2 linked regions of the Rattus norvegicus genome follow. Each later gene encodes a partner of the first gene's protein in a complex. Links are inferred from orthologs where the notes say so. Each region holds a gene or a part of one and is shown in the gene's direction. Other genes may lie near its edges.

What was found.
Region 2: Adgrg1 (region 1) and Cd81 share a complex: the UniProt entries of both Homo sapiens proteins name them as parts of the GPCR-tetraspanin complex. The link is inferred for Rattus norvegicus from reciprocal best matches to the Homo sapiens genes ADGRG1 and CD81.

Annotation. Positions count from the first base shown.
Region 1 is NC_086037.1:10,040,665-10,052,218, reverse strand, and holds the start of Adgrg1 (adhesion G-protein coupled receptor G1 precursor), read left to right. Parts: upstream 1-5,080; 5' UTR 5,081-5,363; intron 5,364-7,243; exon of another isoform or gene 7,244-11,554. UniProt on the Homo sapiens protein: Adhesion G-protein coupled receptor (aGPCR) for steroid hormone 17alpha-hydroxypregnenolone (17-OH), which is involved in cell adhesion and cell-cell interactions.
Region 2 is NC_086019.1:207,674,639-207,685,104, forward strand, and holds the end of Cd81 (CD81 antigen), read left to right. Parts: intron 1-1,027; coding exon 1,028-1,142; intron 1,143-3,771; coding exon 3,772-3,869; intron 3,870-4,538; coding exon 4,539-4,613; intron 4,614-4,823; coding exon 4,824-4,928; intron 4,929-5,207; coding exon 5,208-5,309; intron 5,310-5,702; coding exon 5,703-5,789; coding exon of another isoform or gene 5,790-5,875; coding exon 5,876-5,938; 3' UTR 5,939-6,456; downstream 6,457-10,466. Other genes in the region: U5 small nuclear ribonucleoprotein TSSC4, read left to right, coding at 8,458-9,423. UniProt on the Homo sapiens protein: Structural component of specialized membrane microdomains known as tetraspanin-enriched microdomains (TERMs), which act as platforms for receptor clustering and signaling.

The DNA of each region.
Region 1 (11,554 bases):
ACAGGATGATTTGACAGGTGTGAGGACAGGGTCTTTCCTGAGTTAATCAAGTTAGCTGGAGGCTCTAAGGGTCAAGCCTTATAGAACAGTGAATGTGAGCCCAGACAGCCATGCAGGGAAGGTGGGGACAGAGGCCCAGCAATGCTACCTGGTCCAGAAATGTCACAGATGGCTTCCATCCACCAGAAGATGGGAAGAAAGGTTCTTGGGACCCTCAGAAGGAACAAGCCTTGTTGACACTTTATTCTGTACTTTCTGGACTCCAGAACCAACGACACATCTGTGTTCTTTAAGCACTGGACTGTCTTGAAGACAGCGATAGTGTACTCACATACATAAAATAAATAAATACATCTTTTTAAAAAAAAGAAACCAAAACCATATAAATGTGTTGTTGGTTCTGGTTCTGGTCAAGGGTTAAAGTGTCAACAGAGCTGGTCCCTTCTGAGTACTCCAAGAACATTTCTTCCCGGCTTCTGATAGACGGAGACCATCTTTGATGTTCCTGGAATGGGTAGCAGAACCAGTTCAGGCAGAGTGGCTAATTCTAGCCGAGGACAGACACGTCCAAGGCTGCCTGACTTCCAGCTTCCTTGGGTAACTGGAGTCAGTGTCCAGGAAGGAGGTGTCCTCTCCCAGTTCTTTTTGTCGGTTCCCCTACACTTGGGCCCATTGCCCTTCTGAGCCTTCCCATCCTGCCTGTGCCCTGAGTCCACTCTTCTCGGGGCTGCTGTTTCCTTACCTCCTCCAAGAAGGCTTCCCTGATTTCCTAAGCTAATGTGGATTCTGGATTCCGTATTCTCTTCCTTACTCCTTGGTTATGTGTAAACATTCACCTTCATATTTCCTGGGTCGCCACATTAGTCCTCCAACTTTGAAATCTCTTTCCCATCTTCCTCAAGGCATGGGTACCCTAGAGACAGACATACTGTGTGTCTGATCCCACAGAGAGCAGCTCGACACTTGGAAAACGTTGAATGAACGAATGAAATACATCCAGTAAGAAGTTTCATGGTATAGACAATCCAGGGATAGGTAATCCATTCAAAGGCTGATGATGGCTCTGCTTGGCAATGCAGTTACATTTGGGTCTCAGCCTCCTGGTCCACAATCCCTGGACACGATCCGAACGCAGCCTGAGACTCAGTGTGTGGCCGGGACCTGAACACACAGGTACTCCGAGGAGCTGAATGTTCTTACAGGTAAAAGGCTGTGGGACTTTGTGTGTGTGTGGTGGTGGGGGTGCCAGGGGAAGAGCTAACTTCCTGTACAGGGAGGTTAAGGGAAAGAGGACAGGTGGAGTTTCCCTGGCAGAGGAGGGTGGGAAGTGGGTTCCCTGTGTGGGTGGAATCTTACTTTGGGGCCAACCCCTTCTATGCTTTTCTGCTGGAGGCCCAGCTGTGACATTTAGTTTCCCCCCAGTTTCCTGTGTCTGTCTAGTGGGCTCATGGCGAGTGCCAACTCCAGGCTGAAGTGAGGCTGAGAAGCTGCAAATGTGATTCAGTCACCTCCAGACACAGGGCAACCTGGAGAAGAGCAGTGTCACGGAACACTGAGGATGTGGCCCAATAGTGTTGACTCATGATGGAGGGGCACAGGCACATCTATCTCTCTTGCCCATAACCGAGGACAGATATTGCTCTTAGATCTGCTGGCTGCTGGCATGGGTGTGTCTTCCAGCAGTACCCTCCCCTTCCCCTGTACATGCTCCATCTCCTCATGTGACTCACTTGAAAACACCTCAGGATGGACGCCTCATTGTCCACTACTGACTGCAGGTCAGGGAAAGGCTTCAGCTTCGAAGCACCGAAGTGCTACTGGGTGGCAAACGCTTAGACTGCAGCGGGGGTGGTTTCCTGACTTAGATTGGGCATAGATGGATGACTCTGTGTGGAGGGACCTAGATGCCAGACTTGACCTCAACCAGAGGGCACAAAGCTGCCGTGAACGAGCTCACTAAGAACTTAGCCAAGTCTGGGTCTGCCGCACAGCCCCAGGTGGCCTTGAACTCTCCATCCTCTCGCCTCAGCCTCTTGCTGGGGTGACAGTCATCACACCTGGCTTACCGTGAACTCGCCGAGGGCTAGGCAGTGTCATCAGCTACCCATACCGACTCTTTTCTGCAGAGGACGGTGAGGCAGCCCAGCATGCTGCTGGGGTGGGCTCTAGAGCAGTGAGCTCGCACACCCACATTCCTGGGAAGGATGATTTCTGCCAGGGGCGGCCATAGGGAGACACTCTGTGTCACTGGAAGCAGTGGGGACCCCTTCTGTTCAGTAGCAGGAACAACACTGAGCACGTGGAGGATTGCCAAAAGCCAGTACCTTTCATCTGCTCTGCACTGGGGATGAGGAGCACTTAGGGGGCATTCAAACACGTGTCAGCCATTGATTGAGCATCTTTCCAGGAGTCCTCACAGCCTGGATAGGTGCCCCTAACACCTGCTGTGCACACGAGGCTGAGGGAGGTGACTGAACAGCAGGTTGGGCTGGGCTTCAGACAGTCTGATCCTGCCTCCCCACCCCCACCCCATCCACACCCCCACCCCATCCACACCCCCCACCCCATCATTTCCACTGCCCGCCCTACAGGGTGTTTGTTCTCTGAACCAGAGAGGCCCAGCACCTAGTACTTACTAGGCAAATATTAGCTCAGTGGATAAATACAGGAACTAGCGGAGGGGGGGGGGAATGGCCCGAGTCAGAAACCCTGCCTGAGCTCATGCCTGCCTGGATGAAGCCAGCACCTTCTCAATGTCCAAGGTGCGCTCAACCACGGCTTTCAGTCAGGGAGCTCACCCCCTGACCTTGTGGGCTCCATCAGTTCTGAGAGAGGCCGTGGAAACTTAGCTTGAAAGCATGAGACCCCCTGGGGACTCTCTCACCTTCTCACCAGGTACACTGTGAGGAAAGGGAAGGGACAGGATCTGTATTCTCTCTGTTTTCAGTGAGGGGTGGGAATAGGGCTGATTCTGGAGTTCAGCTGCCTGGGTGTGACTACAAGCCTGTTTCTGTACCTGACTCTGACCTTTTTGGGAGTACTCTGCCCCCTCAGCGCTGGGTAGCTACTCCCTCCAGGATGAGGGAGGAGTCAGTGCCCCACGATTTGCATTTAGCTCAGGACTGATTGCCTGGGTCCGGTTGGTTACAGTTCATCTCTGCAGGTGGCAGGTCTGAGACTTGGCCAGGCTCTTGTTACATTTTATTTCCTTAACCCACTATCCTAGGGGATGGTCTGGGTCGCTAGGAGACCGTGCCTCCAGACTCACAAACGATCCACGGTGCCTGCACTGCCAGGGCACACAAAACCTTCCAATTCTTGCTATGTTTGGAGAGCAAGCACAGCAAAAGCAGAGGTCCCCATTTGATAGGTGGTCTGAGGCACAGAGAGGTTAAGCAACCTTTCCAAGGAAACCCAGCAAAAGTGAGCTCAAGACTAGGATTCTGGCACCAGTCCTTGAGATCAGGTGACAGAATAGTAGTTAGATCACACGTGGGGGTGGGGTGGGGCAGGGCTGAAGACACAGGGGAAGATGTGAAGTGTGGGTGTGGATCTCACAAGCTAGGGAGTCACTGGTGGGCATACAGGAAATCACTGGGACTCCCCTGTGTGTCCTTATCAGGACAGATGGTATCTCTGGGGGCCACGAGGAACTGAAGTCAGACTTTCCCTGTGGGCCCTCTCACTCCCCATCTGCTCAGCTCTAGAGATCCAGCTTGTGCTGGGCAGAGGAAGTGTGCATGCCCACCCTGTAGCCAGGGGTTCTCATGAGGAAGGCATTTTGGTAGGATTGAAGAGTCTCGGCAGGGCCCGTCTAGAGCTGTTGCCAGTAAGCAGGTGCTGGCATCATCTTGGGACTGATGCTCCCTTTCGAGATCCTTCTCCTCTGTGGTCTCGTCTCCGCCTTTGGGTCCTTCATTCAGCTGCACGGCCGGCCGTGAGCAACCTTCTCCTCCTCATCCCTTAAGTCAGAATCACCGACCCCTCCGCCTTTGCCCTTCTGTCCACCAGAATGCTCTTTTCTAGGTACTCCAAAGGCTACCTGCTTGGATGCTGTCTGTATTCAAGCATCATCTCCCACTGAGAATCTAACACTGCTCCCCTCACCGGTATTTTCCTCCCCATTACTCTTACTAGAGCTCTGGGTAGATTATCGTTTATCCATTTGTCATCTGTAGCCCTGCAGCTCTGAGAGGGCAGGTGTGTGGCTCGTAGCTGTCTCTCCTATGCCCAGCACAGTGCCTGGGTCACAGTAGGTTTTCTACAAACGTGATGGAATCCATCCTCTGGTCCATCTGTCCATCCACCTATCCATCCATCTTCTTTTCTTATCCACTCACTAGTCTTTCCTGTAGAACGGACCTTATTCTGGGTCTGCTGTGGTAACTGCTGGGGTTCATAGACAAGAAAAACAGAGGGATTGATCTGAGGCTCAAGAAACAAAATGGACTGAGGGTGGGGGTGTTTCCAAGGTAAATCCTACAGGAGGGACACCTCAGCCCACAGCCGTGATTGATATCTCTTGTTCAGAGGATCCGCTTCTGTTTGGATTGGCTTCCTGAGGGAAGTATGGCTCAGCTAGCAGGTTTCTATGTAGGGAGCTGGTTGTGCATCAGAAGAACCCACACACACACCGCCCCCCTGATACTGGTACTGATTGCAAGAACTTGAAAAAGAGGTGGGTGGCAGTGTCTGAGGGAATTGCATCCACAGGGCCTCTCCATTGCAGGGTGGAGCTTGCCTGGACTTCTCCCCTTGGCATCCTCCCAAGATACCTAGGGCAGCTGCCACCACCCATCCCTAGCAAAAAAGCTCCGTCCCTGTCCCCTCACCCTCTGCCTGCTCTGGTTCCGCCTTAGACCAGCAGGGCATTTTGAGAACCCCACCCGCAGTCCCGGAGCCCTCCTGCATCCAGCCTGTGGCTGAGTTTGTATTGCGCTGTAGACAGGATAAGGGGCAGGATTCAGGTGGGGCCCCAGCTCGGAAGAGGGTGGAGAAGCCACAAAGGGCTGGCAGTTTGCAGGTGTGTGTGGGCGTGGCAGCATGCCTCCCACAGCCCGAAAGGGTCTCTGAAGCGCCGAGACCGTGTGATCCCAGCCTCCCACAAGGCAGCTCTTACTAACCAGGGAAGAGATGCCAAAAGTCCACGGAGGCTGAAGACCCTGTAAAGCTTCGCCAGAAAACCTAGGAGTGTTCGAGGGCACTTGGCACCGGAAGCTAGACCTGTAGGCGGAGCCTCACCTGGGTTGAGTTCACAGCTGCCTAGACAGGCTCAGACTAGGTGCTGGGCACCTGGAAGGAGGAGGCAGAGGCACCAGCAGTAAAGCCTATCTATCAACAGAAGGGCCTGCCTAGGCTTGGAGGTAAGACGCTGCTGTTAGTTAGACTGGGAGACGGAGGTAAGAGAGGGCTGCGGGTATGGCGTGGCTCGGCCCGCTTGACCTTGGTCTCAGGTGCAGCGCAGTGCTTGGGGGTTCTTGTGAGTGGGCTGGATCATGTCTCCCAGGCAACGACTAAGTTAGAGGTTCTAGCTGTTCCTAGGATACTCCTTGCTGCGCAGAGTGTGGGCTGGGCATGCTCAAGAGACGCCAATGGGGCACGTTGGCTGAATGTGAGGTGTGTCCCTCTTTGCCCAGAAGGGCACCATTGCCATGAGGGCCAGAGTGAAGCTTGGGCCCTGGCGTGTGGATGAAGACTGGCGGACATGAACCCCATTTTCCTCTTCGTTCCTAATGCTCCCCAAGTAGTTTCCTCCTGAGATCCGCGGGGGAACCGGTTTAGCAGCAGCTCACCCTGGTTGTTTGACTTCTGAGGAGGAAGAGGGGGCAGGCAACCTTTCCTGGTAAGCCAGCAAAAGGGCAGGGCTCACGGAGTTCTGTCTCTGCTGCTGCCAGCCACAGGTCCCCTTGCCTGTCAGCCCAGGTTTGTCCCCATCTGCAAGGGTCCTACCAACTGCTTCCCCACATGGTGGCCCCAAAAATGCATCTGCACCGGAAGGAAAAGTTCAGGCTTGCTGTGGTCTCGGCGGGACCCTGGCATTCCTTCCAACTGGATCCATGACCCTAGCTGTACCGTGACGGAGGTAGACAGGGCCCCAGATGTCAAATCAAATATTGCTTCTAAAGCCCCAGTGCCCAGCCCCCAGCCCTAGCTCATGGCCCCCACCCAACCAGACAAAGGTGGGCGGCTGGCGCCGCTGCTTTGCCTCTGCCAGTCTGGCTCCCTGAGGCGTGTGGGCTGCACGGTGGGTCCCTGCTAATGAGCATCTGATATCACTCCATTATGCCGCCTGCGCCACCTGCACCCCAGCACTTAATGGGAGACACGGGGGGGGGGTTCCCTGGCTGCTGGGCAGAGGGGCATGCAGAAGGCAGGAGGTGTTGGGGGCGGGTCTCCTGGGGTTGGGGTTGGGAATGCTCTGCGGGATTTCTGCAAAGTACTTAGGATTCCAGCTCTTTATTGTATCAAAAGAGAAGCGCTGGAGATGGATGGGGCGTAATCTCCACGCTAGGGTAACTGAGGCAGATCCATTTTGAGTTCCAGGCCAACCTGGGCTACATGGAGAGACGATATCTTGAAAGAAAGGGGGAAGGAAAAGGGAAGGAGGTGGTGGCAGCCTACTGGGATTTCAGGTGAGGAAATGAGTGTCTTTGTGACTGTCCAAGTGAGTCTCCCCGAGCCAACCTCTCACAAAGTATCTGTGCTTGTCTGTATGGGGAAGGGGGTGTGGGTGCACATGAGGACACAGCCAACATTCCGGTCCTGGAGACTGGCAGTGAGTGACCTGGCATAGTGCTCTCCTCAAGACGGAGCATGCCTTACCCATCCTTTCTATGGGCAAGACATCCTTTCTACGTCTTGAGCGTAGTCACTCACCCTCTCTGGGGGCTTCCTTTGCCTGCCTTGGCACAGATACTGCAATGCCTCTCTGCTTGATCAGAGACAGCTGAACCAGTTCTGGTGCCTGAGCAGCTGCCACTCAACCTCAGGACAGGACCCGGGGAGGGGCAGCATAGCCTGGGTACGAGTGTGGAACAGTTGGCAGCCGCTGACATGGCCTTTTTGGGGAATGCTGGTCACCTCAGACCAGGTCCAACGCTCTAGCTGAGGCAGGGTGGCCCCTGCGGAGGGTCGAAGTCCCTCTGTTCCTGCACACTGGAGCCATTTTAAGAGCAGACTCACAGAGGTAGGGAGGTAACTCAGTTGGCAACATGCTTGCTGCGGAAGCTGGAGGGCCTGAGTTCGGATTCTCCAGCACCACAGTCCCAAGCTTGGTGGTTTGTGCCTGCATCCCAGAGAGGCAGAGACAGGAGGAGCTCCAGGCTTGCTGTCCAGCAAGTCTAGCTGAATCAGAGAGCTCCAGGTTCCATGAGAGACTCTGTCTCAAAAAGTAATTTGAAGGGCCAGCAAGGCGTTTAGCTAAAGGGCTTTCCTTCAAGTCTGATGACTTGAGTTAGATCTCTGGATCCCGCATGAGGCAAGGAGAGAAGCAACTTCTGTGAGTTATCTTTTGACCTCCACATGCATGTCGTGTCACTGTTATCTGCACATGTTACACACACACATAAAACTCCTAAAACATCTAACACATAAGATGGAGAGTGATGGAGGAAGACGCACACTGGTGTTGACCTCTGACCTCCACACACATGTGCACATAAACATGCACACACATATATACTTCAACACATGCTCAAGAGCAAACCCAGTGGTCAGGAGGGTGCCATACCCATTTTACACATGAGGACACTGAGGCATGCAAAGATCAAAGCCCAGCAGCTTGATGCTAGACTCCCACAGCAGTTATGGAGAGCTTTGGGGCAATTCTGGAAGGAACCAAAGCAGCCAGGAGAGTGGTTTGGAGCCTCAGTCAGTGGCTCCCCTGTGCCAGGCTGCTTCTGAGCAGAGTATAGGTCAGAGAGTTATGTCCTGAAGAGGCAGAGCAGGGAACCTCATCATGACAACCTGGGCTGCAGAGGGAACCTATGTTAAGAGATGGGTAGGGTCTCCCTGGAGGACTCTAGGTCTCTGGATCCTGAAGGACAGGCCCAAACTAACAGACTTAGGACAGGATTCGTGAGGGCTTGTTCAAGGTGCTCACCTTAGCCCTGAGCTCAGGGGCTTCTGAATGCTAAGAGGCAGGGGCACAGCCAATTTGACTCTCTGAGCAAGATCTAGCTGGTTCCAGCTCTCCTGCTGGCGGGCTCTTGGTGTGGGGGTTGCTAAGGTGAGGGTCAGACATTCTGTCATGCCACCACACGAACAGGAGGCTCTTAGCCAGTTTTGCCTAGCCTCGGGTAGTTGGGCACCCAGGCATGCCCACCTCTCATGGCAGCCAGTGGGGGTGGCCTTGGAGGCAGCCAGCATGAACTTGGCTAGGGAACAAGACACTGGATTGGCTTCTTCCCAGCAGGCAGGAACGAGGTTCGCACAGAGAGAAAGGTCATGTGACCATGCTAGGGACCAAGGCCACTTCTTGTTGGCATTTGATCAAACATCCCTGGGACCAGAAAGAGAGACCTGGGGGTGGGGGTGGGGGAGTGTCTCCCCAGACCACAACCCTAGGGCTTAGGAAATCTGAGAGGCAGGTAAATGTAAACGGGCCACCCAGCTTAACTCCATCCCCAAGGACCTAGAGTGGACTCCCAATAAGGTCTCAGAAAATAGGCAAACTTGACTTGGGCAGACTCAACTCGCATCCTCTCCTGGCCTTTATTCCACTTTATCTGGTATGATATCCTTGAACCCCAAGCCTAGGCTTGAATCCTGGTGAGGCTTAACCCACCTTAATGGCTGAGAGAGGCCCCTGTTTCCTTTCCTCTGGACCAGCCATATTTTCATACTTCTCCCCGGCTAGGGGAAGGGGAGACCCCCCCAGTGGGGAAGGCTGTCCTGGGCACTAGCACACAGCTGCCTTTGTAAGGGTGACTGAGTCACATGGACACCCCCATCCTTGCTGGACCCTGGGGCGATGTGACGCGAGGTGGCTTTATCATGGGGCTGTGGCTTCCCCCACGCTTTTGGGCAGGAGCCTTTCCCACGGGAATGAAGGGAGCGGGGAGGTGGCTGGGAGCACAGCCCTAGCACATCTGCATTACTGGCTACAGGATCGTGGGGGTGGCTTTGGGAAGGTCGCTTTTCTGTGCCTCAGTTTCCATCTCTGATAAACGCACCAGGCATTCCTGTTGTAGAGAAGCCCTTGTGTTCATGTTAGCATCAATGTGCTGGGTATTACGCTCTAAAACATACAGGGACACTGAGCTTGCAAGAGAAGCCTGTACTTGAGCTCTTTCTGTAGAGTTAAAAACCCACCTCTGACCAGGCAGTGTGTTTCCAGGCTTTTTGTCAAGGCTGGACTCAGCTCATTCCTCTTGACAAGGCTGGCTGTGTAACCCGTTCTATTAGGCAGGTTAGAGAGAGATTGAGGCCTGAAGGTCCCTTGAAGTTGTACCAGCCACATACTCCATGGGGCAGTAGCCCCAGCAAGCAGCCCTCCCTGTTGCTTTCTCTTTTTTTCTTTCTTTCTTTTTTTTTTTTTTCCTGAAGCTGGGGACCGAACCCAGGGCCTTGCGTTTGCTAGGCAAGCACTCTACCACTGAGCTAAATCCCCAACCCCTCCCTGTTGCTTTCTAATCCATAGCCATGGGTTCCTGTGTCCCTGAAGAGCTCTCCTTGGTGCCCAGAGAGCAGGTGCTAATATTTTGTCTTCGCCTAACAGCGAAGGGGTAGCTGGGTAGAGATGCTTGCCCAAGTCACCATCTGGCAGAGGAGTCTGCTGTAGCCAGTTGGCCAGGGGTCCGCATCAGTATTCTCTCTTCCATTTCTTATAAAGAAAGGGCAACTGTCAGCTTCCTGTGCTCCCCACCCCATGCTGACTCTGTCACCAGCCTGTAGTCCCACAGCCCTCCCTGTGGAGCCCTTTTCTAGCTGAGTCCTGGCCTGGTGCTTCTAGTAGCCATGGGAACCAGAGAGGACATGTGGTTCCCTAATGCTACAGATCCACTCTGCATTAGGGTAGCCTTTTCTCGCCGTCTCCCAGATTTGCACCCTACTCCTGACATGTATACATGTCAGGGATGCTTTTGATACCTCCCCTTTCCCTGTTTGGCTTTCCTCAGCCTTGTTTGTCTCAGACTTTGGATACAAGACTTTACCCCAGCTTTTCTCTGTCTCTATCTTCAAGACACGGCCTGAGCTCAGCCACTTGTCCACACCTCACGTCATACCCACCCAGTTTAAGAGGAGAGCCAGGCCAAAAGGATAACCACCTGGGAATTCTGTTAAATTTTAGGTTCTTATGAGACAGATCTGGGGCATATCTGAAATCTGAGGTTTCTGGCAATTTTTCATAACTTGAGCCCTGAGCACAATCCTTCTTGTGAGAGTGGATTTTTTTTCAAAATCTTCCATTATCTGGATCCATTTCCTTCAAATGGCTCTCCCTACCTCTCCACCCCTGTTGCTGTTACCCCTAGCAGTTTCTTCTGAAGGTCTCTTTTTCTTGAACTTCCTAACTTCTCCAATATTCGGCTGGGCTCGGGAGCCATTTGGTCCACACCCAGCCTTTGGAGGGTGTGGCTGAGAGCCCCTTGCTTTCTCTGTACACGGTCCTGCTCTGTATGGTGGAGACATGGTGGAGATGTTGAGGCTAAGGGCCTGTACCTGCTGGATGTTTGCTGAGAGCCCGAGAGCCAGCTGCATCTCACGGAGTGGTGGTGGTGTGCAGTGGACCACTGGGCGCCTGCTTGCCACCTCTACTTCCCCAGCTGTGAGACCTTGAAGAAGTTAACTACCTTCCCTGAGCATCATCCCCCCCCCTCCCTTGCCCCTCTTCCTTCTTCATTACCACATTCCTGGAGAATTCCTTCGGACTCATTAATTGTCTGGGCAGGGGCTGGGAAGCAGGGAGGAGGCAGAGGGAAGCCTGGAATGCCGAGCTGCAAGGCCTGCTATTTTGTTACGGCCATTAGTGTTATTGTTGCCACTTGCCCTCATTAGGTTGTGAAATCCTCTCCGGTGCTTCATTTTGCTCACACAGTATGGGGTATGGGAGAGCAAAGTCCGGAGGCTTCACTCTGGAGGGCCATGTTTATCCAAAACACTCCCCCTGCCACCCACTTCCCTCCCTTCCCCCAACCCCCTGGGCTGTGCAGGACCAGTGAACCTCAGCGGTGGACGGTACATCTAACAGACAGCAGCCAGAGTAGGCATGATGGGGTTGGCTCACTCCCAAATTGTTCTTTCTGAGGTTTTGGAATGACTCTTTACCTGGGCCTCAGTTTCCCATTTGGCTCAGCTGATAGACAGGCTATTTCCGGAAGTCCCTGGGGTCTCAGGGTCCAGGATGTGAGTTTTGAAAGGTTGAGACTGAGGTCTGGCTCCCTGCTGGGAAGACACTCAGAGACATGGGTCAGCAGTCAGCCATATGTGGCCTCCAGCCAGGCGGCCTGATACCCCCTTCCTCTTGGAGTGCTTTCCGCTCTGCCAGTCAGCGCTGGCTCTGCCTGCTGCCACGGAGGTTAGACTGTCCTTCAGGAAGGGGTAGTTGTTGGCT
Region 2 (10,466 bases), on another chromosome or scaffold:
ACTGAGGAAGAAGGGCGCATGAATGGGGTAGGAGTAGAGGGCGATGGTAATCAGGAGAAAGTATCCCCCACCACAGCTTCCTCTTTGAGGGTTAAGCAGAGCACGAGATCCTAGGGTAGAAGAAGGTAGGTGAGTTCCATATGTCCTCTTTCCGGGACCATCCTGCTTGGGAATTTCCCCAGAACTTTCTTGAGCTTGTGCTCTGTCCTGAATCCCCACAGTGAAGAGCAGGTGCCCTTTCAGGCCCGGGTTCTGGTTTCTATTTGCTGTCTCTACTGGGGAGTGCCACTGACCCTTCCAGAAGAGAAGGCCTAGAAGTGGGGAAGAGATTGCTTCCCTTGGTCTGTTCTCACCGTGGGGCCTGGTGACATCACATGGTCACCCCTGTCCTCCTGGCAGGGAGACCTTGGTGTCTCTACCGCAGAGTTCTCAGTACCCTACCTGAAGCAGTCTCTACACAGTCTCAGGGCCGTTGGGACAGGGTACCAGGGGAGAGCCCGGCAGCATCCTGAGTGGCTAGGGCTCATTGTGGCCACTTCTCAGATAAAAATGTTGTACAGTTGGTCAATCTGGAACAGTAGGGGGAAAAATGTTTCCTGTTGATTTTGGAGACAAGGTTTCAATAGCCCAGGCTAGTCTCAAACTCACATGACCTTGAATTCCTGATCCTCCTGCTTTTACTTCTCAAGTGCCACCAAACCCAGTTTACGTGGTGCTAGCTTGAACCCAGGGCTCCCTACATGCCAAAGCCTCTTATCAACTGAGCCACGTTTTCTGCCCAAACCTCCTTGTTTGTGTCGTGCACTATTAGAGGTACACTTGAACTCTGTTCTAGAGTTACAATGAAAGGAGCTGGTGGGACCCAGAGCTCAGCGGCAGTGGCTCAGTGAGCAGACCCCATGGGGCCTGGTTGACGTCCGGCTCCACAACTGGAAGTGATGGCTTTATATGATAAGCATCGTAGGGTTCCATCGCCTCACAGCGCTCTGGCCTCTATATGACATTGTTCCTGATTTTTTTTTCCTAGCTGGCTGGAGGTGTGATCCTAGGTGTAGCTCTGTGGTTGCGCCATGATCCACAAACCACCAGCCTTCTCTACCTGGAACTGGGAGACAAACCAGCACCTAGCACCTTCTATGTGGGTGAGTAACAAAGAGACAGGGTCTAGTCACAAGTCCAGAACAGTCAGGGAGGGCTTCCAGGAAGAGGCTGATGAATCTGAATCTGGTGGGTGGGGCATTAGAACCCACAGTGGCCTAGGCCTAATATGAGCTGGAGAGGGAGGCTGCCTACAAGAGGAGAGTTGGGTTGGGTGTGGTGCTGCTGGGGACCCCACAGATCTGAGACTGGGCTAAACTGAAAGGAAGCAGCTGGGAAGGGCAGGGGCCTTGTAGGACCTTGCTTATTTTAACATGGACATTTCTAGTGAACCTTCCTGGGCAGGGTGGGGCTGGATGCCTGGGCTAGCAACAGCTGAGGCCCCAGGAGTCCTGAGTTGGGGAGGGCTGGAGACAGTGAATGACTCAGATACCCCATCACACCCCACCCCACCCCCACCAGCAGAGGCCAGACTGCTGCACCTGCCTTATTTGGCTGCCTGTGGGGGACTGAGCACCTCCCTCTCAAGTAGGAAGATAGCGGCTGTGCTATGCTGTCCTATGCTGTGGTCCACTATTCTGTGCTGAAGGAGGAAGCTTTCCTCCTTCCTCCCCCTGGAAGAGGGACCTGGTGTCCCGAGAACTGAAGAAGTATTTGGAGATGGTTTCACCCTTCTAAAGCTCTCACCTTCATCAGGGGTCTAATGTGGATCTTCCTCCTCCTCCTGTGGAGCCTAGAAGGGGCTGGGGAGACATGCTTGAGGCTGAGTGGGGACCAGGAGATCTGAAGTAATCAGCATTCTCCCTTTCCGCCTAAGTGCCCCAGAGCAGACAGGGCTTTGGTCACCACATGACTCGCTCTATTTCCTTCCTCCCTATACTCTGCCCACAGCTTCAGCGTGGGTAAAATGGACCGTGGTAGAGTCCAGACAATGTAGGCTGGGGCCAGAACCTGGTCTCCTTCGAGGAAGGCTGTGAGGGGTAGCAGTTTTCAGGCGTGGTTGTTAGTAGGAAAGGGCCCACACCAGCTATCCGTCCTTGGATCTGGTACCTTCAGAGGAGGAGGAGGATGCCCACTAGCTCATACAGACACTGGCTTGTTGTGTAGCAACTGATATGGGTCTCTTTACAAGGGAGATCTGGGCATCAGAGACAGACAAGGGGAAGGCTGTGTTCCCACTCTGCACTGGTATGGCAGGAGAGGCTGGGTACCCTGCAGAGCCCAGATAGGGTGGCCTAGGAAGCAGGTCTCTATCCTCATGTTCTCATAATAGTCTACTCCAGGCTCCAGTTCCAGAGCTGCTCAGCCACCTGCCCATCTGGGGTTATGGCCCCCTGGATACTGGATAAATAGTCTCAGGGACTACACTGTGTAGCAGGTTGGGTGCTGACAGCAAGGCCCATAGCCTATGGGTAGGAGCTACTCTGGCTGCTGTGTCCCTGGACAACCTGAATTGACTTTCTGGAGCTTCCTGCTGCCCCTGAACTGAGCTCCTCTAGGAGCAGATGTGGCCCTGAAAAAGGTGTCTTGTCCAGTGTTTAGGAGAGTGAGTTCAGGGCTTGCCTAACATCCCAGAAACCACCACATGGGCTTTAGGTGAGACATGCGTTAGGCCTAGGAAGTCCTGGGACAGTGCCTGTGTGTTGGGTGCCCGACTGTATGTATCCTCCTTTGAGACAGCCTACACCTCATCTTGAGGTTGGGGTTTCAGGGCTTGACAACAGGGACCTGGTTGAAGGTGCTCCGCCCATTGGGAGGCAAAGGTGAAACCAGTTTCTAGGCAACCTTGGTGGGAGGTTTCCCCTAGACCAGGCATGTTTAGTGAGGCCAGAGGATTTGGCCTGTTTCTAAGTCTGGCAGCAGGTCCAGGCCACGGTACTTTCTCCGCTGGTCTGGCCAGGCAGGGGACAATGGGTCTGACTCTGTACAAGGAAGCTTGGAGTGCCCTGCATTGTTGCCGTGGAGACTGGGGGATGGGCTGCTTCTACTGAGGAACCAAGAGATAGAGGGCTCATCAGAGACACAGTGTGCTTTCCCTCGGGGCTGAGGGGTACTGTGGCCACTGAGGCAGGGACATGGTCCAACTGGTGCCTCGTGGGCCACAGTGTTCCCCTGCAAACTCACAGCCCAGCCAGTGGCAGATGTTGGGTGCTCTGCTCAAACTATCCCTATCATTCTGTCAGCCCTCCAGCCACCCCCCCACAGGTTCCTGTCCTTAGAGTTAGGTGAGCAGAATGGTTATACAGCGTTCCTGAGATGAGGTGCCTGGAGTTGGTTACTGGCTTAGCTTACCCTTGACTTCACACTCATCCAGTATTGGGAGTCCTGGACATCGGGCCCCAACATCCACGACACTTCCCCATTTCATGCACTGAAGTGGGTAGTCTGCCTCAGCCCTCTACAGTGAGTGCCGAGGAGGGTTCCTGATCTCAGGTGCAGGTGGTGGGGGACTGGCTCCAGAGCAGAGCATACCTGTGAAATGGAGATTACCCGTGTTCTCTGGGCACTGAATTGCTGTTTTGTCCTCCAGTGGCAGTGGCGGCTCCTCTCACAGGACACTGAGGCACAAATGGCGCACATTGCTAACCTCTGCCTGTTGTGGTTGTGAGTCAGATCTTCCTATCTCAGGCAGTGGTGCATGCAGCCTGCTTACCCAGCTCTTCCCCTCCCCAGGCATCTACATTCTCATTGCTGTGGGAGCTGTGATGATGTTTGTAGGCTTCCTGGGGTGCTATGGGGCCATCCAGGAGTCCCAGTGCCTGCTGGGGACGGTGAGTAGAAAGGGCTGAAGGGCTGGGGAGCAGGGTTTCTGGCAACTTACGTGTCTTCCCCAAGGTTTTGGTTTTCCTGTTTGCTTGATTTCCATTGGGTCTGCATATGAATATATATCTTAGAAAAAGGGATTTCACTTTAGAAAAAAATAGACTCCAGAAGGGCATCTCACCCCTAAAGCCAGCCTTAGTGCTCCTGACCATACTAGCTACTGGAGAAGAAGCTGAAGCCCAGATAGATATGCCTTCTAGAGCCTGGTCAGCCTGGGAGGGAGGCCCTGACAGTATCGAAAGCAGGGGAAACGACTGAAGCACACTTCATAGTTTAACCTTTCCATGGCTGTAGGATAAAGGAGGTGAGGAAACTGAGGTCAGGGTTGCGGGGTGTTTTGCTGCATGTGCCTCAGTGAAGGCTGTGGACACTTGGACTTGTCAGCTGCATTTCTTACACCAGCCATATCCTGCAGAATAGGAAGCAGGGGGAGGCTGTGACAACTTGGCCATCTCAGTGGGGCTGTATCAGGCTCTATCTCTCAGTGGCTCTACGTGGCTCATTCTTAATCAGGCCATGGTTAGTGGATACAGCCAACCCCCTTGGCACATAGTTGTTGGTCACGTGGGCTAGGCCTGGGCTTGCTGGTCAAGGCTCTGACCTCTTCTTTCTCCTAGTTCTTCACTTGCCTTGTGATCCTGTTTGCCTGTGAGGTAGCTGCGGGCATCTGGGGCTTTGTAAACAAAGACCAGGTAAGCCAGATTCACTGGGGAGGGAGATATGCCCTCTGCTCTGAGCCCATAGGTTATCAGGTACTTTTTTTTAATTTCTGGGGCCCATTGGTGGGGGCAGGGTCTTGGGAGCTTAGTGGAAGAGGTGGCATGGGGCTGAGCACATGGGGGGTGGGATGAATACTCTTGGTGGTAGCCCCTTCGCTGCACGTGACCATGATTCTCCCCCAGATCGCCAAGGATGTGAAGCAGTTCTACGACCAGGCCCTTCAGCAGGCTGTGATGGATGATGATGCCAACAATGCCAAGGCAGTGGTGAAGACCTTCCATGAGACGGTACAGCTAAGCTGGAGCAGGAGGGCAGGTTGTGGGGTGTGTGGGGGCATGAGTCCCAGATCTCTGTAACAAGACCTGGGAAAGGTTCTCCTCTATGATTAGATTCCCCAGGTAGGAATCTAATGGGCCTCGTTTTCCCAGGGGTTTGGAGGAATGGGACTTGTGTGCAGGGTGACCAACCAGGCAGAAGGACAGACAGCTCCCAAGTGTATATTTTGGGGTGATGCTGTGCTGTGGGCTTGATCTTTCCCTTGACAGTGTTGTTCTTGGTCTCTGCAGCTCAACTGTTGTGGCTCCAATACGCTGACCACACTGACCACCACCGTGCTGAGGAACAGCCTGTGTCCCTCAAGCAGCAACTCATTCACTCAGCTTCTGAAGGTGGCGTGGAGTGGGGGTGGGCATCATATCCTGGGTGGTAGGTAGGGGAATGTGGCACGCCAGGAAGATCAGCACTCTGAACAGGCAGGACCTCTGAAAGGCCCATAGACCATCTCAATTAGTGGGATGCAGGGTCCTGACAGCCTGGGTTAACCCCTGCAATATCCTGAAAACCTGTTCTCTTGAGTAGTCCCTCAAACACTGGTACCCTAGGGTACTAGTGAGGTCAAAAACACTACCCCGTGATAGAGAAGGCCACAGGCAGCAGGTCCATGTGTTTTACATTTATTTACATGTGGAAGATAAGCTGTGGTGCCTAGGCCCCATCACTGAGTAGGGTGGTAGCTGTGACTTAGCCACTGACTGTTAACCACCGTCTTGCCATCCCTGCAGGAAGACTGCCATCAGAAAATCGATGAGCTCTTTTCTGGGAAGCTGTACCTCATTGGAATTGCAGCCATTGTGGTAGCTGTCATTATGGTAAGCACAGGGCCTCTGGTGGGTAGGCGGGCAGAAAGCATCCTTCCCAGGGTCTTAGGTGCTGACTGTGCCTCTCCCTCCTGCAGATCTTCGAGATGATTCTGAGCATGGTGCTGTGCTGTGGCATCCGGAACAGCTCCGTGTACTAAGGCCCTTCGCTTCGCACCAGAGGGTCCCTGGAATGACCAGAGGCCACCTTGGGGGCCATGGCCTGTGTATATACTATTTCTGTATTACTCTGCTACACTTAGCCTTTTTACTTTTGAGTCTTTTTTGTTCTGAACTTTTCCTGTCACCTTTTGGAGCCGACACCACACATAGGTGGCGTATGTGGGGACGTAGAGGTGGAGCTGGCCCTAGCTGGCAGGGCCCTGTACTTCTGGGACCCCTGGAGAGTTCTGCCTGCTGAGCCAAACCTCCTCCATAGCTACTTGTCCAGAGGCCACATAGCCAAGCTAGAAGGCCATGTCCACCCACTCTGCCCACTGTGGGTCACATCGCTCCCATCTTTTTAATCCTTGTCCCTTTCCTGCCTCCATTTCAAGAGCTGGGTTTGTAAGCACTCTTATGCCTTCAATGCACTTATTCTTTCTAACGTGTCACCTTCAACTGTAATTAAATCTTGAAACAGTCATTTAATAAAGGAGGAAAAAATCAGGCATGCTAATGGGACTGCCAGACCTCTTCCTGTGCCAGTGGTGTCAGAGACCTGGCTCGTCAGCTCTGAACTTTGCCAGGTACAGGGTGAGCAGGTCCAATAGAGCCTGTGGAACACAGTGGGTGGGGAGGGCTGGGACCCTGGGAGCACTCCATGTTGAGTACTCCCTCACTTCTGTACCTCCCTGTACTGGGAGCTCAATGCTGACCTAACACCAGCCTTGACCTCATTTCCACTCATCTGTTGGGAATGCCAGGTCGGCTGAGTCGGGTAGGAGGAGCCACAAGGCAGGGGAATCCAGCACAGAATGTTGGGGATAAACTGCAAGAACACTTTCCTTTTGAGGGACAAGACAGTAAAGGTTAGACCATTACCCCATCTCAGGTATCTAGGTGTTGGAAATATTCCACTGAGCTGGATGGTTCTAGCTTGTGTCTCAAGAAATAAAAGGCAGTCCGCTGAGCTCACCCCTGTGAACTGAGGATCAGGCTAAAGCAACCTCCTGGACACAAGGGGCAACCACCACTGTCTTTCTCTTTGACTCCTGTCTGCACCCCTCCCCCAGGCTGCTGGGTTAATTGGCCACTAGAGAGGAGAAGTCCTGGCTAAGATTCAGGTCCCAGCAGTAGGCTGATTTGTCGGTGAACCCCAAGCTTGTACTAGGGCATTCTAGGTCTCAGCCACCTCCACCCACCACGCCAGGGCAACCTGTTCCATGCTTGGCTGGCTTCTGAGGGAACCTTTATATTCTATGTTGTGAGGCCCATGGGCACCAGGCCAAGGCTGTTGGAAGCCTGTTGCACAGCTTCAAGAACATAGTAAAGGAGGAGAGAATGCAGCAGCCCAGTGGATCCTCAGACTCTGGTGTCTAAGGATGCAAGAAAACAGTCCCAGGCCTGGAGGAGGATTATGTGTGGCCTTGAATAGTAGGGTCAGCGTCCAGCACCTAAAGCGTCCGTCCGTGCCTGTGTCAGGAAGCACAGACAGGCAGTGCCCACGGTAACGGCCTCGAATCTATGAAGCCCCAACCAACCCATTACAAGGACCACCACGTCTCTATACGCCAAGAGCCAACCAGGACCTTGGTCCCGCCCAACTCCAGAAAGCCAACAAAGCACAAGACCCGCACCACTTCCGCCCAGGGCCGGAAGTGTCTGGGAAACTGGTTGTAGCTCGCAGTGCGTAGTGACGCACTTCCTCGTGTCGGACCCGGCCCAGGTGGCTTCCGACGGACGACGCTAGAAGCCTCAACCCTTTGCGATTGGCAGTTAACCCTAGAGTATTGTGGGAATCACGGCTCCGCCTTTTCCCCTTTCGTCATTTCTGGGTGGATTTCCGTGTGCGCTCCGGTCTTCGGGATGGCACACATGTTACAAGTCCCGGCAGGCATTAGGCAGTGACCCCATTGCCTTCTGGGAGTTGTAGTTTCTCGGGCGCTGAAGCCACAATATTCTGATAGCCCGAGACTCGGTTTCCCAGGAATCCAAGCGAGATTGAACAGGCCGGAATCCCGTGGAACTGGCGGGACGCTGCGGGAAAGGTGGCAGGTTATTGAAGCGTGTACGGATGCTGGAACGGTGAGCACTGGCCTCCCTAGGGCCGCGACCAGGCCAGTACCGTGCCTGTTTCTGCCACCTCCCCCTCCGGACCCCGGGTGGTGCCTTCAGTGTGTGCCCAGAGAGGCTGCGCTTTGCTAAGAGCTCGTGATGGGACGAGCCGCTGATGGAGATCCCCTGTCACCAGCATCTCCCAGCGCTCATCTATTGTATGTCCACACTGTTATGATCTCATGGTTGACTCTCTCCTTAACCCCACCTAACCTGCAGCTCCACATCTGTGCACGCTAGGATACCCTTTAGCCACCCAGCTTCGCGAGGCCTCCGGTCCGGTTGTGAGTAGAGGCGCCTGGCACACAGTGGAGGTGAAAGAGCCCGGGAGGGCGGGGAGGGGTGCGGCATTAGGTACACCCCTCACGGCAGAACTGGGACTGCCTTGCTACAGGTGGGACGGATGTCAGGTCTTATGGCGGAGACAGAGGCCGGCTTGGAGGTTGAGGAACCCACCGAGGATGACACCCTGCCTTCTGACACCGTCTCCCTCAGCGACTCGGACTCTGACCTCAGCTTACCTAGTGGTGTGGAGGTCCAAGCGTTGTCCCCAGAGAGGCTTTCTGGGGAGAGCCAGGAGGACTCGGGCCCTGATGACCCTCCCTCGCACCCCACGGGCATTCCCACCACTGCAGTGCAGCCGTTCCACCTCCGAGGCATGAGCTCCACTTTCTCCCAGCGGAGCCACAGCATCTTTGATTGTCTGGAGAGTGCAGCCCGGCAGGAACCGTGCTCTGCTCCCCAAACCAGTGTGGTTGACAATTGCAGCTTCAAGCGGCCTGTGGCTCCCCCAAGTCAGACTCCAGCAAGAAGCTTGAGCAGAGTGCATGGGAACACTGACCCGACCAGGGTACACCCTGTCCCTGACTATGTGTCACACCCTGAGCGTTGGACCAAATACAGTCTGGAAGATGTGTCTGAAACCAGTGAGCAGAGCAATCGTGATGCTGCCCTGGCCTTCCTGAGCTCTCGAAGCCAGGCATCCCCCACAGACTATGTGCCCTTTTTCAACCAGGACCCCTCTAGCTGTGGGGAGGGAAGAGTGGTCTTCACCAAACCAGTGCGGGGCAGCGAGGCTAGGGCTGAGAGGAAGAGGGTCCTAAAGAAGGGGGTTGTGTCAGGTGCAGGGGGTGAGGCCTCAGTGGAGCTAGCCCATCTCGCCGGGCCTGAGGCTGAGGAATGGAGTGGCCACCAGGGACAGCCAGAGGTGGTAGTGCCTTCAGAAGCTGCCCGTCCTGAGTCCTCATCAGGCCCCATAGGTATGAAAACTGTTGGTTTCCATGGCAGCAAGAAGCGGAGCAGAGACCACTTCCGGAACAGGGATAGTAACCCGGAGGGGCCAGGGTCTGAGAGAGGACCCTCAGTTTGACTGCAGTGCCATCGCTCTACCTCCTCACCTGCCCAGTCCAGGTGGGACAGTGTGGGCTCTCTGTAGTAGGGATGTGTGGGCCTCAACTCTGGCAGAGACTGGGAATTGTGGGTCAGGGGACCTTGAAGGCCTTTGTGCCCCATTGTTTGGGGTGAATAATAAAGGTTTTGAGTATTTACTGAATTTCGTGAATTTTTCTCGGCCCCACTCAAGAGTTATGTCCAAACAGTCCTGGGCAGCTAACTACAGGACTGCATCTCTACCAGCCTCATCCTGCCTTCCCCGCTCTAGTGAGGACCGCTGTGAAGGTTTGCCATGGGCATTGATGTTTGTCACTGGTAACCTACCCAGAGGGAGTGGGCTCGTAGCTGTGTTCAGCCTTGTGCCCCTGATGGTACTGGATGAGCATAATATGGTCCCCCTGCCCCCCAGAAACCAGTGCAGCCCCAGCACTGGGCCCGCACAGACCACGGGTTCTAGGAAGAGGATAAGTTGTGAGCCAGCAAATGGTTGGTGTCCGGGCTGTATGTCTCCAGGACTTGTGACCTCTGTATAAGACACAGCTGATGCTAGATCCTTCAGCTGAAGCTGGGCCAGGGAGGAGGAGAAGGATGCACGAGTGAGTATTTCATGTGGAGGCCAGGGACTTGGACCAAGTTAGCCAGCCTGGCCTGCTAAGCACCGGGTCTGCCCCAGTCTCTGTAGTTCGCCTAGAAAGGACCTGGGTGGTCATTTAATTTGAGAAGTAGTAGAAGGAACAGAGATGCTGTTCATTGGGTCAGATAACTCCATGTTCCCCAGGTGTTTGAAATGTTGGTTTAGCCACCCCTGTGGTCCAGTTTAGCTTAGTTGAGGTGGTCTACAGGCTTTATAGAAAGTAAAATAGCATTGGGTACCCTTGAGCAGTATCTTGGGGTTTGTGCCAGGACAATCACACAAATTATGCTGTGGGGGCTGAAGGATGGGAGCTGATTACAGTAGATCTGAGTCCTGCCCTCTAGAAGCTGGTCGGCTGATGGATGAATCAGAGGACAAGAAGGAAA